Linked DNA regions of Canis lupus familiaris. The main gene of each other region encodes a partner of the protein of the gene in region 4 in a complex. Links are inferred from orthologs where the notes say so. Each region holds a gene or a part of one and is shown on either strand. Other genes may lie near its edges. The genes, in order: PIGY, PIGC, PIGA and PIGH.

What was found.
Region 1: PIGH (region 4) and PIGY share a complex: the UniProt entries of both Homo sapiens proteins name them as parts of the glycosylphosphatidylinositol-N-acetylglucosaminyltransferase (GPI-GnT) complex. The link is inferred for Canis lupus familiaris from reciprocal best matches to the Homo sapiens genes PIGH and PIGY.
Region 2: PIGH (region 4) and PIGC share a complex: the UniProt entries of both Homo sapiens proteins name them as parts of the glycosylphosphatidylinositol-N-acetylglucosaminyltransferase (GPI-GnT) complex. The link is inferred for Canis lupus familiaris from reciprocal best matches to the Homo sapiens genes PIGH and PIGC.
Region 3: PIGH (region 4) and PIGA share a complex: the UniProt entries of both Homo sapiens proteins name them as parts of the glycosylphosphatidylinositol-N-acetylglucosaminyltransferase (GPI-GnT) complex. The link is inferred for Canis lupus familiaris from reciprocal best matches to the Homo sapiens genes PIGH and PIGA.

Annotation. Positions count from the first base shown.
Region 1 is NC_049253.1:28,142,007-28,146,600, reverse strand, and holds the start of PIGY (phosphatidylinositol N-acetylglucosaminyltransferase subunit Y), read right to left. Parts: upstream 3,252-4,594; 5' UTR 3,164-3,251; coding exon of another isoform or gene 2,961-3,163; intron 792-2,960; coding exon of another isoform or gene 650-791; 5' UTR 557-649; coding exon 341-556; 3' UTR 1-340. Other genes in the region: PYURF (protein preY, mitochondrial), read right to left, coding at 650-791, 2,961-3,163. UniProt on the Homo sapiens protein: Part of the glycosylphosphatidylinositol-N-acetylglucosaminyltransferase (GPI-GnT) complex that catalyzes the transfer of N-acetylglucosamine from UDP-N-acetylglucosamine to phosphatidylinositol and participates in the first step of GPI biosynthesis.
Region 2 is NC_049228.1:26,429,622-26,434,370, forward strand, and holds PIGC (phosphatidylinositol N-acetylglucosaminyltransferase subunit C), read left to right. Parts: upstream 1-1,756; 5' UTR 1,757-1,878; exon of another isoform or gene 1,879-1,951; intron 1,952-2,209; exon of another isoform or gene 2,210-2,387; intron 2,388-2,524; exon of another isoform or gene 2,525-2,585; intron 2,586-3,145; exon of another isoform or gene 3,146-3,177; 5' UTR 3,178-3,395; coding exon 3,396-4,289; 3' UTR 4,290-4,576; downstream 4,577-4,749. Other genes in the region: C7H1orf105 (uncharacterized protein C1orf105 homolog), read right to left, coding at 714-799. UniProt on the Homo sapiens protein: Part of the glycosylphosphatidylinositol-N-acetylglucosaminyltransferase (GPI-GnT) complex that catalyzes the transfer of N-acetylglucosamine from UDP-N-acetylglucosamine to phosphatidylinositol and participates in the first step of GPI biosynthesis.
Region 3 is NC_049260.1:11,617,520-11,621,631, reverse strand, and holds part of PIGA (phosphatidylinositol N-acetylglucosaminyltransferase subunit A), read left to right. Parts: intron 1-1,432; coding exon 1,433-1,565; intron 1,566-2,338; coding exon 2,339-2,471; intron 2,472-2,627; coding exon 2,628-2,834; intron 2,835-4,006; coding exon of another isoform or gene 4,007-4,112. UniProt on the Homo sapiens protein: Catalytic subunit of the glycosylphosphatidylinositol-N-acetylglucosaminyltransferase (GPI-GnT) complex that catalyzes the transfer of N-acetylglucosamine from UDP-N-acetylglucosamine to phosphatidylinositol and participates in the first step of GPI biosynthesis.
Region 4 is NC_049229.1:41,842,787-41,847,392, forward strand, and holds the start of PIGH (phosphatidylinositol N-acetylglucosaminyltransferase subunit H), read right to left. Parts: upstream 2,981-4,606; 5' UTR 2,880-2,980; coding exon 2,700-2,879; intron 1-2,699. UniProt on the Homo sapiens protein: Part of the glycosylphosphatidylinositol-N-acetylglucosaminyltransferase (GPI-GnT) complex that catalyzes the transfer of N-acetylglucosamine from UDP-N-acetylglucosamine to phosphatidylinositol and participates in the first step of GPI biosynthesis.

The DNA.
Region 1 (4,594 bases), on a different chromosome or scaffold from region 4:
AAAATAAACATAAAAATTTTTAATTATTAACTTTAGATGAATGGGGTAATAAAGTCATCAGCTGATGGTCAGGACTGTTAATTTCCAATAGGAAACTTTCCTGAAATGTTTCTTCTGATACAGCAGTCATATGTTAGAATTTTCAAAAAATAAGGGCAGAACAAAAGTACAAAAGAAATTTCTGCAGCTTAAGCCTCCCATAGTCCAAAACCTCTGAGAGAAGCAAGGCAAAGCACCTTTCCTGCAAATTAAGTGGGTTTCCAGTATTTCCATGTCACTGAGCTTTCAGAGACAGACATGACATATCATTAATATGTGTATCATCTTGGCTCTGTTTGTATTAATTATGCCTGAAGAGTTTAATACCCATCCAGGTCCAAAGGTGGAAGAACACATAAACTGGTATGGTAACTGGCAGGAGGAGACTGTAAAAGCACAGGCTGGTTGTGCTAGTGCAGCCCTGTGGAAAGTTTTCCTCCACAGAAGCTGAGTAGAACAGTCCTGCTAAAGAGACCAATGGAATAAGGACAGTCAACGTAGGAAGAGACAGAAACATTCTTCTCCCCCGCTTATTACCTGCCACTCTGACTTTTAAAAAATTAAGTAGTATTAAGAAAATGCAGTTGTAGGCGTTGCTTTTAATTGTGATCTAGTGCTGCTCCGTTTCTTCTTGCTTCTTATTCTGATGTGTCATCCTAGCTGCCTGTGGTATCATATTAGGAATCCCATCAATAATTGGATAGGCTATTCCCAACTCTTCATTAATCAATTCATTTGTCGATGCTTCATATCTGAGGGGGGAAAAGAAAAACAAAATGAATTGTGGAAAATAAAATGCTTAGAAGTGCGTGGTCTTCAATAAACACCACCATTTATCCAATTCTTGACAGAGAGTTAAATTCCAAAAAAGTAGAATTAAACTGCTTCTAGGGTTGCCTGGGTGGCTCAGCAGTTTGGTGCCGTCTTCAGCCCAGGGCATGATTCTGGGGTCCCGGGATCCAGTCCCACATCGGGCTCCCTGCATGGAGCCTGCTTCTCAACCTCTGCCTGTGTCTCTGGCTCTCTGTAGGTCTCTCATGAATAAATAAGATCTTTAAAAAAATAAAAAACTGCTTCTAATTCTAAAAACAGTATTAGCCAACTGAAACATTTCTCTTAGAAAATGAATCTCTAATTGTTTGCATTTTGGTCAGTTTCTCTTGTATTTTTTCATTTTATTCTCGAGCTACACCTTAATATGTATTTTTAAAATCCAGTTAGAAGATCTTCCCTTTTCATCAAAATATTCCTTCCTAACTCTGGTCAACCCCAAAACCATCCCAGTTAATTTACTACTGAAACAGCCACTAGAGGAAAATTAAAATTCCCCACTATTTTAGAATGCACGCTTAACACAGCAACCTAATTGAACCACTGGAAGGAAACCACTGAAAATCAAGATATACAAAATAAAAGTTTGAGGAGGAGAGAGCAGAAACGAGGAAACTGAAAACAGTGCATCTGCAGCTAGTTACACAACTAAACGGTAGATCAAATGGTCATTTCAAGGTATAAGAAAATTGAGTGGGGATCCCTGGGTGGCGCAGCGGTTTAGCGCCTGCCTTTGGCCCAGGGCGCCATCCTGGAGACCCGGGATCAAATCCCACGTCGGGCTCCCGGTGCATGGAGCCTGCTTCTCCCTCTGCCTGTGTCTCTGCGCCTCTCTCTCTCTCTCTGTGTGTGTGTAACTATCATAAATAAATAAAAATTAAAAAAAAAAAAAAAGAAAATTGAGTGTCTTCATTATGGGAAAACATCTCGTTAAGAGAAACGTAGAAAGATTGAAAAAAAAAAAATGACTAGCAATCCACCACCCAAAATAACCACTGATAACAGTCTGGTGCAAAACTAGTGTTGTCAATGTTCAGTTTTAGTAGCCTGGGGGTGCAGAGTTCTTTTAAAAAAAAAAAAATTTAAACTCGGGCAGCCCCGGTGGCGCAGCGGTTTAGCGCCGCCTTCGGCCCAGGGCGTGATCCTGGAGACCCGGGATCGAGTCCCACGTCGGGCTCCCAGTGCATGGAGCCTGCTTCTCCCTCTGCCTGTGTCTCTGCCTCTCTCTCTGTGTGTGTCTCATGAATAAATAAAATCTTTCCTCATTTGATTAACATACAGTGTATAATTAGTTCAGAGATAGAGTTTAGTGCTTCATCAGTGGAACCTAACACCCAGTGCCCATGACATCAAGTGCCCTCCTTAATGCCCGTCACCGGTCACCCATCCCCCCACCCCCAGCAACCCTCCGTCGGTCTCCTAGAGTTGGTCTCCCTCTCTGATTCCGTCTCCTTCTATTTCCCCTCCCTGAGCTGTTTTCCCTAAGGATTCCAGGGAGACAGACCCTACGACTCTGCAAAACCCAGCCCGTCCAGAACTAAGAGCCAAAGGCGCAGCAGCGCACGCAGCTTAAAAGTGTTTAAGGCCGTCACGCATCAGCTGTAGATTTCCATAAGAATTTTTAGTCATTTTTCACCATCTTGGCTTAAAAACCTCACACCCACGGGCCAGTCCCGACTCCCAACAGTTCCTAAACCTGGCGGCGCGCGAGAACCACTTAGGTCCTTTTAAGAAAACGCCTCGCGCTAGTCCGGCCCCCAGCCCGGCTGACTGGGTCGGTCGGCGCCGGCGCACCCGAATCGGCATTTAAAAAAAAAAAAAAAAAAAAGTTCCCCCGGCGAGGCGACCGCGCGGCCAGCGCGGAACCTTCCAAGGCTTCCAGCCGCGCCTCGGCGGTGGGATCCGAGCGGCCCGGGATCGGCTCGCGCCCGCCTCCCCCCTCCCCCGCCCTTCCCGCCGCAGTGGGCGGAGCCTGGTAGCCGCAGGGCCCGGGGCCACAAAATGGCTGCGGGCAACCCCGGCCCGAGCCGAAGGGCTCCCCAGGGCCGTGAGCGGCCGCGCGAACCGAGGCCGGCCGCCGGGAATCTCACCTGAGCGGCTTCTTGGAGAGCGGGCACACCAGGAACTCGAGCAGCGCCGGGTCGAAGGCGCGGGGCGGGCCTCCCGTCCTCTCGCTCTTGTCTGAGGGCCGCCGCGACCCCGACGCGTGAAGGCGCCTGCGGGCGACCGCGAACGACGGCCCGCGCGGCCCCCGCAGTGCTGAGGCGAGCCGGCCGCACGCTCCGCTCAGCATGGTCTGGCAGCCCGCACCCGCCGCCCTGCCAGCGCCCGGCCGCTTCAGCCGCTTCCGCCGCTTCAGCCGCTCCCCGCGCAGCCGGCCCCGCCGCCCGCCAGGCCCCGCCCCCGGTGCTGCGGGAATGCGGTCCCCGGGCGGGCGGGCAGGAGGCAGCCCTTGGGTTCCGGGGGCGCTGCTGACGCGACTGCTTCTTCCCGCCCACCGCTCGGTAGTTACGGCGGGGCCCGTAGCCGCGGGGCTCCAGTGGCTGTTCGCCGCGTTTACCGATGACTGACAAAGCCAGGGCTTGAATTGGGGGCATTTTGGGTTTTCACCAGGGCTCATCGCAGGGGAGCCAGGAAGCCGGTGGCCGGATCTCAGAGTCCCACAGGGTTAAGCTTGCACCTACGTGGTCATCTCCAGAATGAGGTTTCGAACACGTATTGGGTATCTTAAAAGCATGGATTTGTTTTATGTAAATTACCATAGCACCTGTAACCTTTCCCCCCTCCCCGCCCTTTTCTTATTAAATGAAAACTTGAGGGGCCCCTGGGTGGCTCAGTGGATGAGCGTCTGCCTTCGGCTGAGGTCGTGATCCCAAGGTCAGGGGGTAGAGTCTAGCTCAGGCCTGACCCCGGGTCCTGGGATCGAGTCCCGCATCAGGCTCCGCGCGGGGCGCCTGCTTCTCCCTCTGCCCGTGTCTCGGCCTCTCTCTCTCTCTGTGTGTCTCTCATGAATAAATACATAAAATCTTAAAACACACACACACACACACACAAAGAAACTTTAGAGCCTGAAAAGAATAGCATAGGCCTCTTAACCTCCCAGAAGTCCAGCTTCTACTGTGAATTCAACTGCATCATAAAGCGCAGCCAGTTTATAAATGAGCTGGTGACAGCAAGGAGTCTGAGCAACTGTGCAACCAAGCGGGTGGATGTACCTTAGTTGGATGGCAAATCCGCTCAGTGGATTTTCCGCGCCAGGTTTGCATCTGGTGCTCTAGGGAAGTGGTCTCAGGCTTGATCTCTTTCTTACCATGAAGGAAGGGTTGGGCTCTGGGGCCTGGCAGCTCGGTTTCTGGTCCGTGCTTTACTAGCTGTGTAAGTCCAGCCAACGACTTACCCAGTTTCTTTTTTTTTTTTTTTAATTTTTTTAAATTAATTTATTTATTTATGATAGTCATCAGCGAGAGAGAGAGAGAGAGGAGAGAGAGAGGCAGAGACACAGGCAGAGGGAGAAGCAGGCTCCATGCACCGGGAGCCCGATGTGGGATTCGATCCCGGGTCTCCAGGATCGCGCCCTGGGCCAAAGGCAGGCGCCAAACCGCTGCGCCACCCAGGGATCCCCCCACTCAGTTTCTTTATTGTATGATAAGATAATGGCACCTACCTCATGAAATCTCCTTGTGGGCATTCAAATGGGATCTTGCAGGCAAAGAATATTTAGAAG
Region 2 (4,749 bases), on a different chromosome or scaffold from region 4:
ACATGTGCCAGGGAGCCAGCCCTCCTCATCTATGAAGTGGTTTCGAAGTTGCCTCCTGGCTGCTCTCTCTCTCCCCTCCCTCTGATTTCTTCCATTCGCCTCCACATTACCTCAATTTCCCCCTTCCTTCCACTTCCCCTCCCCAGAGCAGCCAGGGACCACAAATGAAAGAGGAATGAAGAAGCCCAGATATTTCGAGTGTCAGCACTAAAATGCTGCTAACACATGAACACCTCCAATTGTGAAACACAGAAACATATTCCATAGCTGTTGGTTTGGAAGTGGCAGGACTGGTGAGATTGGAGGAGATTGTCCCAAAGGGATATACGGGCAGTCGCTCCTCTCTAAAGATTGCCATTTATGGGTCTAGACTTTTGATGGTTAAAATGAGAAAATTTCAAATTAAAGCAGAGGAGAAAAAGTAAGATGTAGAGGAGGATGGAAGTGTTCGGAGAGGTAGCATCCAGGGGCAAAATTCTTTTGTATTGTTGAGTGGTGGTTGTAGAGAGGGAGGTTCATTGAGATCTCCTCCCCCCTGCCAAGCCTATACTCAGTGCCTGCTTTTGTCTGAGAAACCCAGGCCATTTCTGGGCTTTGAGCACTCATCTTGAGTTTCTCAACTGACCAGATTTGCCCCTCTGATAACTGCCCCAGAAACCATCTTCTGTGACATCTTTCTCGAAACCTTTGGCTTCAGTGACTGAGTGATTTACCTTTTGGGGAGGCTGAGCACTAATGGCTTGTTTATGAGGCTGGCCTCGCTAAGCCAAGGAATCTTGCCAAATTTCGGAACAGAAACCTGGAAAGAAATGGAAAGAGATCATTCCGTGGAACTTATTGCATTTGAACATTGCCATCAAAACAATAACCAAAGTGAGCTAATGGCAGCTATATAAAAGTCAGCACTTTACAAAACATTTTTATGACGAGGGCCTTTTGAGTCTCCTATAAAGGATCCAAGAGCAAACAGTGTTATCTCCACTTTACAGATGAAGAAATCAGAGCTCAGGCGTTGTGATTTGCCAAGTCACACGGCTCATAGGTGGATTCAGGTTTTCTGACTTTCGTGCCCTCTATACCTGGCCTTCTACTCTACCTATCCCTTTGCTTCTTTATTACTTCCATCTGTTGGTGCACCTATGCAGCCGGCTGAATTATCAGCAGCCTCCCGTTCAGTCCCAGACTGTTTTCAGCCGCAGGGCCCTCCGCTCCCGATTCCTTCCAGGCACCAAAGAGGAATGAACAACACGCTGAAGCCGCGGACATGGCACGTTAATCTGTTAATCCACTTTCCAGCTGGTGGCTTTGGGACAGCTCACAAGGTCTCTGAGCCTCGGTTTTGTCCTCTTGGGAAGATATCATCACTTTCCAGGTCAACGCACAAGACAGAGAGCTGCAGGAGAGCAGGGATTTTCGGTTCCACTCACTGTGGTGTCAAGAGCCCCCCTAGGACAGTGCTCGCAGGTGCTCTCCGAATACCTGTCCAGCGAATGCACGGATGCGTGGCAAGTCCCCAGTTGAGGGCCTGACTGAGTAACAGGAGCGCCTAAGAGTCGGCTCTACAGTCTCTCTTTACCAGCCCAGCCTCTGTCCCCCGGCGTTCGGATCCCAAATAATCCAGCCTTTCGTTGCGGCGCTTGCTTTTTCCTAGGCTCCGAGCGGCGCGTCCTCGGGAGAGGAGCCGGGAGTTCCGCGGGTCGCCGGCAGGGGGCAGCAGCGACCCCCGCAGTTCCGCCGGCCGGGGAAAGGCGCTCTCGCCGCGGGGGGGGCGGACCCGGAAGTGCTCGGCCGGCGTCGCGAGCGCCGCGGAGCCCCGGATGGGAGCGGAAGTGGGCGGCCGCCTCCGTCCGGCCGCAGAGCCCCGGGAGCTGCGGGCAGGTGGGTCCTCGGGCGGGCGTCCGCGTTTCCGGGCCTCCTTGTCCTCCGCCACGCCCGCGCAGGCGCAAGGCCGGTGAGCGGCGGCCGCGGAGGGGGAGTGGGGCGTCCCCGGGGACACCTGGCCGACCCCGCGGGGGGGGGGGGCGGGGCGTTGCCCTGGGCGACGGCGGGAGCGCGCTGGGCTGGGGGCCCTGCGGCCGCCAACGGGGCTCCAGGGCGTCTGGCCGGTGCAGCCCAACTCGCCGTGGTCTCCGTGGAGGGAGTCAGGTCGGGCAGTAGGAGTCGCCTTCCCGGGCTTGCTGGAGGGAGGACTCGGGTCCTTCTGCCTCCTTCAGGTTTCCTTGTGGAGAAGGGGTCGTCGTCCGCGGGCCTCGCGAGAGTTTCCCGCCAGGACGCGAGCTCTTTAAAGGAGGTTAAGCTCGCGAGGTTCGTGGGTGAAGACCCTTGAGATTCTAAACCGGGAGCTCGTGCCTTTTTGTATTGTGCGGTTTACTGTTGTCTTTAGACTGGTACCTTTTCTTCTTCTTCTTCTTATTTTTTTTTTAAGATTTATTTATTCATGAGAAACAGAGAGAGGCAGAGACACAGGCAGAGGGAGAAGCAGGCTCCCTACCAGGGGCCCGATGCGGGACTCGATCCCGGGACCCCGGGATCACGACCTGAGCCAAAGGCAGACGCTCAACCGCTGAGCCACCCAGGCGTCACTGGTACCTTTTTCTTTTTTTTTTTTTCTCCTTTTTTGGTATAATGCCTTTGAGGTCTCCATCAATAAAAGCTCCGGATCCTATCCCTCGAAATTTGCACTAATTGCAGCCACAAGGATATGGTGACAGGGAGAGTGTTTTGGATGCTCTGGAGCCCATCCACAGACCTCAGGGATGTGTGAACCCCTGAGGGAGACATGACGTGAGGCTCAGGCTTCCGGGGAAAGACGTGGGCCTGAATTTGGCGCCACTGTTAATTTGGGCTAAAGTTGTCTGAGCAATCTGAATCTCAGGTATTTTTACTGATTAAAGTGGAGCTAATGCTGATTTGAAAGGAGAGGATTAAACGAAAGAAGCTCCAGAAGGCACCTGGCACATAGTAGGCGCTCAGAGAGTAATAGCTGACAGATGTCTGTTGTTATCTGTGGGATTATAATTAAAATCTGATGTGAAGTGTTAACGTCCATAATTATAAAACAGCCACCGCATGTATTTTTGCTCAGACTTTTAATAAACTGAATTAGTTTGATTTTTAACTCAGTCCTTCCCTTGACCTTTGACAGCTTTCCTAGGTTCATAGTCTCTCATTTTCCAGGAACTTGGCTGCATCATCCTGCCTCCGGGAACAAACTCTTCGAGTTGAGGCCTCGTCCGGGTTGCTGCCTTTGAAAGCAAGGGAAGGTCGGTACACTTTGAACCGCAACACAGCATGGAACTTCCAGAGAGGTCTTATTGCAAAACTGTGTAAAGAACAAGAACCACCTGGACTTCTGGAAGGGAGCTCAAACTGGCCTGAATTTGAAGGAGGGGATAATGTGTGCCCAACCTGTAACTGACACAAAGGAGATCAAGTGGCAGAAGGTCTTGTATGAGCGGCAGCCCTTTCCTGATAACTATGTGGACCGGCGTTTCCTGGAAGAGCTCCGGAAAAACATCTACGCCCGGAAGTACCAGTACTGGGCTGTGGTATTTGAGTCCAGTGTGGTGGTACAGCAGCTGTGCAGCGTTTGTGTTTTTGTGGTTATCTGGTGGTACATGGATGAGGGCCTCCTGGCGCCCCACTGGCTTTTTGGGACTGGCCTGGCTTCTTCACTGATTGGCTATGTTTTGTTTGATCTCATCGATGGAGGCGAAGGACGGAAAAAGAGCGGGCGGACCCGGTGGGCTGACTTGAAGAGTGCCCTCGTTTTCATTACTTTCACATATGGTTTTTCGCCAGTGCTGAAGACCCTGACAGAGTCTGTCAGCACCGATACCATCTATGCCATGTCAGTCTTTATGCTCTTGGGCCACCTCATTTTCTTTGACTATGGCGCCAACGCTGCCATTGTATCCAGCACACTGTCCTTGAACATGGCCATTTTTGCCTCTGTCTGCCTGGCGTCGCGCCTGCCCCGGTCCCTGCATGCTTTCATCATGGTGACATTTGCCATCCAGATTTTTGCCCTGTGGCCCATGTTACAGAAGAAACTGAAGGCATGTACTCCATGCAGCTACGTGGGAGTCACGTTGCTTTTCGCATTTTCAGCCTTGGGAGGTTTACTGTCCATTAGTGCTGTGGGAGCCATCCTCTTTGCCATTCTGCTGGTTTCCATCTCTTGTCTCTGCCCTTTCTACCTCATTCGCCTGCAGCTTTTTAAAGAAAACATTCATGGGCCTTGGGATGAGGCTGAAATCAAAGAAGACCTGTCCAGGTTTCTCAGCTAAGTTAGAGACTTCCATTCTGTTATTAAGGCAAGCTGATAGACTAGCCTCCCAACTAGTAGAAGACTCGAAGACAGTCCCATCCTGGAAACAACATACTGATGTGGGGGTAGGGGAACAGCAGTCAAAAGAAAGAACTAACCAAAGGCATGGGTGGTGAAGATGCTTGTCCTTTCTGTTATTTTGTGGATGAAAATGCTTTCTGGGGCCCTCCTCAATTCTTGCCTCTCATTTGCTGTAACAAATGAAGTGGTGTGGCTTCTATTTATTAAAAAAATAACATCCATTAAGTTGTCTCATGACTTTTCTGTAAGAAGGCTGACAGAAGGGGCATGAAGAGTGAAAAGAGAATGAAAATATATGTGTTTATGTGTAAAGTCACTTCTCTCTACCTTTATTTATCTAGAGCTCAGGTCCTAGAATCCTGGATTCTGTGTTGTGTTATTGCCTTAGATCCCAGAAT
Region 3 (4,112 bases), on a different chromosome or scaffold from region 4:
GTTATGATTTTTACTCTTTATGTGTTGCATTTTTCATTTGAAGAATGGGTTCTTAACCTTTGTATTCGAAGGGAGGAAGGAAAGGAAAGAAAGAAAATGAAAGAGTTAAAGGTAGCTAAATGTTAAAAGTCATTAAGCCACCTTCTGGTTTATGTAGAGATCCAGTTGACAGATTCGGTAATTGTCTTGAAACAAAGGTAGCTAAGATTTTAATGAGAAGCCTTCATAATTCAGAAAAGCTGCGTGTGAACTTATGTTTGCTAATGCAGTTATATTTTGAAAATGCTGGCGGAGTTTATATAAATCCCTACTTTGAATTTAATAAAAATGACCCCATATAAATTACTTCTCCCACTATCTTTTTTTAAAAATAATTGATCTGCCTGTATTTGAGAAGATTGATAGAAAAAAGTGTAATTCTTATTTTTGTGTGTGTGTACATATGCATTTTTTGAATTAATAAACTTTAACTGGGTTATTTTACATTTACTTTTACTTTGAAATGTGTCCAATTTATAATTGTTAATGAACAAAATTCTCAAAAAGTATCAACATTCCTGTCACTTTGGATAGCCACTTTCAGACTGGTAGGGCATGGTTTATTTTTTTGCTTCATATTACCTGGGGTTGTATTTACGTATTAGAAGGAAAGTGTTTCATTAAAGGAAAAAAAAGAACCAAGACGCACCCTTTTGTTCTCTGGATTATAACCATCTGTCAGTCGAGGTCCTGCCACCTTCATTTACTCTCATTCAAGGGAAGTGGGCTATGGCAGGTTTGGACGGACTACTCTTTTACATTTTGCTAATACTGTGGAGTTTGTTGTAAGATCCTGTGTACAAGCTGCGTTCTCAACAAAGCGGATGCTGCAGTTACACTTTGTTGCTTAGCCCTTTCTGATGGCATGGCGGGATATGGAACATAGACTGGTAGAAATTTTGTAGCTGAAAGAGACCTTGGACTTCAGGCACATCTGGTCTCTTCGTTTTCTATTATCAGAAAATTTTCCCACGACCAAAGAGCTTGCTCCTAAGTTGGCTGGGACAAATCCTAGGTCTCCGATCAGCTGTTCGGCTCTGTAGAAAACTAACTCAAATGCTAGCTACCTCAAATACCTTTTTTAGAAGTATGTGATGCATAACCACAAGCGAATGACAAAGAATGTTATGTTAGAACGAAACAGCATAACCCATATAACCAACCCATGTATCGGGTAACAGTGGATGTCAATGTACTTTAAGAACTGCAACTCTTAGGAGAGCGCTGGTAGTTTGGACATTCCACCTTGGCAGGAAAGGTTTGAGAATTAGCTTCTCTGCCTAAGGAGGGCATAGCTAATACTTTTCAAAGGGAGTGTTTTCTCAGTTCTGCTGAATTTTTTAAAGTTTAAATATTAATATTTCCAACATTCAACTTTATTTTATATTTTCAGGGACTGATTTGCTTAGTGGTATAATACCTGAACTCTGTCAGAAATATCCAGATTTAAATTTCATAATTGGAGGAGAGGGACCTAAGAGAATCATTTTGGAAGAAGTACGAGAAAGGTACCAGCTACATGACAGGTATTGATGGATTCTATATTGTCTTGGGTGAGAAAATGTTACCTGAATTCAGTTTTGGTTACATGTGTTTTTAAGTGGGCTGTTTCTCCTATGTATACTTGATGTAAAAATGTAATGCAAAGTCTGTTTTTTTTAATGTATATAATATGGGAAAACTTAGTTTAAAAAAATTTCACAATTTTTTTTTTTGGCCCAGTATTATTTGACTTTCAGGGGCAATGGTTGGAGGTACCCTGGAAGGTGTGCGCATGCATATGAACTCACACACACACACACACACACACAGAACAACCACTTTGGAAACGTTTGTAGATTTTCAAGCCTTGCTGAGTTGTGATTTAAATAGTATGGCCCAAATCATGTAAATTGTCCTGTACATACAGATTCAAATACTTCTCTTTCTTAGTAACTTAAAAAGGTGTTTGCTGTGAAGCATCAATTTTAAGGGGCCTTTTTCTGTTTAGAAATGACTCTTTAATATTTACTCACCAAAGTATATTAATATCTCCACTAAATGCCAACTAATTTTGTAGAAGATGAAATTTATATGCGTGACAAAAGTTAGAAATATGGTAGCTGTATGAGTTTGAAACCAAACAGCTTTAAAGACTCTTTTAGATCATAATTTGGTGATATTAGTCTTGTGCAGTGGCAAACATTAGAACCAGCCGTAATCTAAGTATAATATGAATAGCACACTTGGCTTCTAAATGATATTTCTTTTCTTGCATGATTTTCACTCCTCTCTTTTCTTCTTTCATTTCTAAAATCAGAGTGCGTCTCTTGGGAGCCTTAGAGCACAAGGATGTTAGAAATGTCTTAGTTCAAGGACATATTTTTCTTAATACTTCCCTTACCGAAGCATTCTGCATGGCAATTGTGGAAGCAGCCAGTTGTGGTTTACAGGTAAAAAGCTTTGAGGGCTTACGTTGTTGGGGTTTCTGTACTTGTATTTTGAAAAATAAGCAGGTACTTTCTGTAATGACTTTTTAAAGTTGGTTTTGCTGATTTTCCTGAAATATGAATTATGGTGTAATGTATGTTCTTGTTCTCCTTTTTAAGGTGGTAAGTACCAGGGTTGGTGGAATTCCTGAGGTACTTCCAGAAAATCTTATCATTCTGTGTGAGCCTTCTGTCAAGTCCTTGTGCAAGGGTTTGGAAAAAGCGATTTCCCAGCTGAAGTCAGGAGCGTTGCCAGCTCCCGAAAATATCCATAACATAGTAAAGACTTTCTACACCTGGAGGAATGTTGCAGAAAGAACTGAAAAAGTATGTCATGTGCTAAGCAAAGGGTATTTGAAGATTGTGTCTAAATTCTTGGCGTTTCGTGTACACGTTTGCTTTTTTTAAATATATATATAGGTTTACCCTTTCTGTTGCTTAAGTTTATGAAGTCTCTTCAAATGAAAAGAAATGCACTATGTACTACTTTTGGTATATGCTAGGCTAAGTTTCTAGTCAACTCGTTGCATTTGACATCTGAAAATAGCAATGCCGTCAAGACTTCTCATTAAATTAGGCATAAGGGAGTTACAGAGTTTTCTAGAAGGCACGACTGTTCAAAGGCCAAACCGATATTAAGATCTACTCTCAGAAATTTTCTTGAGGCTGTTTCTAATTCTAAGCATGCCAGTTTATTAGGAAGTAGGTGGTTTTTCTTAGTCTGATTGCGGCAACTTTAAAACTTGCAAACGTTGAATTCAGGCTACTTCCCAAAACCCTTGCATCACCCTTGCTAAGTACCATGATGTTCTGTGGGGAAGAGGATTTTTGCATCTTTGGGCTGGTGGAGAACATAGTAAGTTAGGATGCAGGATGCACATGACAAATGTTGAAAATACCACAAACACAGAGCGGCAGTAGAGAACTTGTAGTTGCTCTTTTAATTCTTCCTGTTCCACACAGGCCATTTTGATCGTTTTCAGCTCCTCCTTCATAGTTTAACTATGCTATTTAGAACATTGATGAAGACATTACATTGGAGTTCATGCTGGAAACATGCTCTCTCAACTGTTCTAATTCACCAGTCTCAGCATAATTTGGACTGAAATGTATTCCAGATGTTTTGAGGGTACAAGAGCTAGCTGGAAGCAGCCTGTACCTTTCCAGAGGCCACTGGCCTGTAGAGCTCGCACTGCACGTCACAGCCTTCTTGAGTTCAAAAGGAGATGGCTTACAGGTCCGCTGTGTGAGAATGACCACAAGCAATGCTCGAATGCAATGAAAACAGATAAATGCTGGCCTCGCTTATGTGTTCGAAACATATGTTTAAAGATCTTTGTTTTAAAAATATTTCTGAGTTTTGTGCTTAGCCGTGCCTGAAAAAAGCAAGCCACCTACTACCGGTCCTCAGCAGTAAACTTTGTTTTTGTTTGCCAGCATTTGACCTATGCCATCTACTAAAATTTCCCCTATCTTTTCCCCCTTCCTTTTATTTGGAGTCCACGAAATGTTTCTGTATGCTCTCACCATCCATACTCAGCAACATGGCCTTACGTGGCCGTGGAAAAGAAGAGCCTCTCTCTACCCAGCAGCGCGCTAGATTAG
Region 4 (4,606 bases):
AAAGTTTGCTGACCTCTGTACTTGGTAATTACTTACTGATTAATGAATGGAGAATGGAAAAATCTATGTGCTAGGTCTCTGATGATCCAAAAATGTCTACTTTAAGTTAATTAAATGCCTAGTATCTAGTACAGTGTCTGGTTCATAGTCTGAACTGAATAAACATGGAAGAATAGAAAATTCGGCCCCAGCCCTTACAGGTGTATTAGAGGCAAAATTAATACAAAAATTAAAATTTTTGGAGACTACTATGGAACTATTAGTGCCTAAGTATTAAAACAGAATGAGAGAAAGCAAGAAAGAGACCTCAAAGCACACAGGATACCCCATGAAGACTTCCAAGGAAGAAGAATTTCACTGGTATATAAGAGCTGGTGGTTATTGATAGATATGCTTAGTTGAGAAAAGGAAGGGGGTAAAGCATTCCAGATTGCAATAAATCAGGTAATAACCTACACTTTTAATAGAATTGTGAATTCAAAACCAGCAGGAAAGAAGGGATGAAGTACAAAAAATGTAAGGGGATTTAATCCCTATCAGCTTTTTAATAAGGTAATCCTTGCCCAAAACTTCATTACTACCTACATTCTTTATACTTCATTTTTCTTTTTTTTTTAATTTTTATTTATTTATGATAGTCACACAGAGAGAGAGAGAGAAGGGCAGAGACATAGGCAGAAGGAGAAGCAGGCTCCATGCACCGGGAGCCCGACATGGGATTCGATCCAGGGTCTCCAGGATCGTGCCCTGGGCCAAAGGCAGGCGCTAAACCGCTGCGCCACCCAGGGATCCCTATACTTCATTTTTCTGTCTGAAATTCTAACAATTCAATATTTATTTGGGCTGAAATTAAGCCACATGTTTCTGTGAATTCCTTCATTTCTTCTCCCTCCTGAGAGTCATTACTCTGACAAATAGTTTTGAACCCAAAGATAAACTCTGATACACAGACCCCTTAAGAAATATAGTGGAGGTTTTTTTTTCTTAAGATTTTATTTATTTATTCATGAGAGACACACACAGAGAGAGAAGCAAAGACACACAGGCCGAGGGAGAAGCAGGCTCCATGCAGGGAGCCAGCCGGATGTGGGACTCCATCCGGGTCTCCAGGATTACGCCCTGGACTGAAGGCGGCGCTAAACCGCTGAGCCAGGATCCCCTGCAGTGGAGTTTGAAGGAAGATAAGGTTACTGAGTTGTGGGCCCTTCATGGAGGCAGGTGGGACATACCAGGATAAGAGGGTACAAAAAGGAGCTGGCATAAAAACAAACTTCTATTTAAAAATTTTACCTAAGTAAGCCCTCCCCAAGGAGGAGACAGTATAGTGGAAAAGAAAGGGTTTCAGAGTCAGTCCTGAGTTTGAAGCCCAAGTATGCCATTTACTAGCTTTGTGACCTTGGGTAAATTATTACTCTAAGCCTTGGCTTTCTTCTAAGGTTAAAATGAGACATTCAGGAAAGCAGCTGGCAGTTAGTGGACATATAATAATCTGTTCGCTCCTCCTCCTCACATGACAACACGGCCAGAACTCAGGCTAGTATTAAAATTCAACTACATTATAAATTAAATCTTTTTCGAGGGGGGAGAAGGACTGTCCTGGCAGTTTAACCATATTAACTGGCTTTTGAACAAACTTCTAGATACAGTTTGGCATAACTTAGGGCAGTCTTAATTCTGCACATATCTATGCCAAATTACCATACATTGATGGTAAGAGAGCCAATGAATGCATTAATGGAAACAAGACCCAAAATATAGAAAAAACCCTCGACCTGGTCAGATCACTCCTAGAATAATATATTCAGTTCAGGACACTACATCTGAAACTAAATTCATCTTGGGGCAGCCCGGGTGGCTCGGCGGTTTAGCGCCGCCTTCAGCCCAGGGCGTGATCCTGGAGACCCGGGATCGAGTCCCACGTCCATCTCCCTGCATGGAGCCTCCTTCTCCCTCTGCCTGTGTCTCTGCCTCTCTCTCTCTGTCTCTGTGTGTCTCTCATGAATAAATAAAGTCTTAAAAAAATTCATCTTGAAAAGCATTTAGGGTGACTCGTTTTATTTGAGGGCTGCCACAAAGCCACTACATGTGACCCTCAATACTGTGAAGCTGGCATGGCAGGCAGCAATTCCCTTTTAAACATGTTAAAGCTGAGGCTCAGAAAATAGGAATGAGTCCGAATGGTGAGCCCAGAAACAACGCATCACCAAAACTTCCTAATTCATTAGAAATCACTTGAGGTTGGGGAAGGGGTGGGGGTGGGGGGGGTAGACTGCCTTGAAAAACAGGTTAGAACTGATGAAGCTCATGTTGTGGAGGCAAAGACGGTTTCTCCTTAAGACTCTATAAAGGTTCTGTTGGCAGCGACTCCTCTGAAGATTCGGAGCGACGGATGAGGTCGATGCACTTAACAGTTCTCCGAACCCCTGGAACTGAATTCCTGTGAGCACGTGCTACGTAGGTCACCTGGAAGTTAGAGTCTGAGGCTATCGCGCAAGGTCTAAGTGGACGCCCACAGGAGGCACAGAGCACAGGTGTCAAAACGTCACTAAACGTCAAGAAAACAGCTGTCCCGGCAGCAGAGCCAGCCAGTTCCCGCCCTCCGACCCTACACCGACGGGAAGGCCCGACGAGAGACCCGGCCTCGACCCGGGAACGCCGCCCCCGACTCCGACTGCGGGGAGGGGCCGAGCGGCCTTTACCTCGCAGAGGGTGAAGAGTCCGTAGGCCGCGAGCCACACGGCGCAGGTGACCGCGGTGAGCGAGCGCAGCGAGAGCCGGGGGCAGCTGAGGCAGAACTCCCGGCAGGACGGGGAGTAGTAGCGGCGCTGCAGGGCCAGGCGGCCGCCGCAGATATCCGAGAAGCTCCGCTCGTCCTCCATGGTCGGCGGGCCCCTCCCGCCGGCGCCCTCTCGCGCCCCGTCGCGCCCTCTCGCCCGCCGGCGCCCTCTCAGCAGCTCCAACCCACTTCCGGAGAGCGGCGCAGGCCCCGCCCCGCCCCGCCCCCGCCTCACGCTCCGCGCAGCCGCAGTCGGCGCCCAGAGCTGCGGCGAGGCTCCGCCGGCTCGGGTTTCGCGCTTCCCGGCCCCGCAGGGCTTCTGCGGGCGGCGTGGCTACTCCGGAGACTCGCGGGAGGCCGACGCAGCTGGCCTGTTCACGCGCTCTCGCTTGGCAGACGATTTCTAGGTCCAGGCCAGGAGACAGTCCGCAGATACACACTCGTTACAGTCACTTACTCATTCATTTCATTCCCGCGCCAGGTAGTTGCTGAAGATCCAGGGCTGGCCCGCCCGTGCTGGAGATTCGTGCCTTCAAGGAGCGTCCGCTCCAGTAAGAGCAACTGCAATATGGAAGGGTGTCAAAACGATTTCAGGGAGTGCTGCTGGCAATAACATGACCGCAGGAGTGGCTTGGGGACACTTGCCACAGGGCAATCAGGAAAATCTCTGAGGACCCTGGAGCTGCGCGCGTGGGGAGCCAGACTGGTCCGGGAGAGCTCTGGAGGAGGAATATGACAGTTTGGAGGACCAGGAAAGGCAAAGTCCCCGAGGCTGGAACAAGGTTGATGTATTGGAGGAATCAAGAGACTGACACAAGGAGGAGGCATTTGGAAGTTGGGAAGGTAGGGGCGCCTGGGTGGCTCAGTGGTTGAGCATCTGCTTTGGGCTCAGGCCATGATCCCGAGGTCCTGGGATCGAGTCCCACATCAGGCTCTCCCCGCAGGGAGCCTGCTTCTGCCTATGCCTATGCCTCTGCTTCTGTCTCTCATGAATAAATAAATAAAAAAAATTAAAATCAATGAAGTTGGGGAGAGAGGTGCAGACCTCAGATCCAAGAGGGTCTTATAGGGCCTGGTAAGAAGTTTGGATTTCACTGGCTTGGGAGTTGTCTCTTCCCAACCACTGCGTGGAGCATTGAGTAGACAGAGGAGTCCTGGCTGGGAAGTTAGCAAGAGAGGAAGATGCAGAAGGTGTGGATAATAAAAATCACTAAACCCATGAGTAATAGCGCCTGTGGGTTTTGTTTTGTTTTGTTTGTTTTTGTCTTTGGTTTTTTTTTTTTTTTTTTTTTTTTTTACTTTTGGCTCAAGAGTGGCTTGTGGCCTGTTGGAGTTATGGTGCTTCAGCCCTGAGGCAGCATCATGAATTAAAGAATTGATCCCTTTGTCTATAAAGACAAATGGCATTAACAGTCTCACCAGCTTTGAGTCTCTCTGATGAAAGTTAGGTTCGGTCTTTCCATCTTCATCCAAGATTTTGTTTCCTTTTTTCCCCAAAACTGTTGTGCCCAAGATTGCGAATCCGAGAAACCACCAAGAAGCCGACACCGATGCAAGCGCACGAGGGTTTATTAGCAAGCTCGAGCTTGGGTCCAAGTATACCCAACACAGCGGAGCAGGGACTTGACCCCGAAGTGGGTTACAGCTGGGTTTTTTATAGGCTGGTCTAGGGGATTTCCAGAAGGGATGGAAGAATTCTAAGATGGGACTTTCTACCATGGGCGTGGGCTCTCTTGTCTTTCTGAAATGGGATTCTCTGCCAAGGGCAATTCTGAGCTCTGTTGTCTTCCTGATATGGGATTACCTGCCGAGGACATTGAGGACATTCTG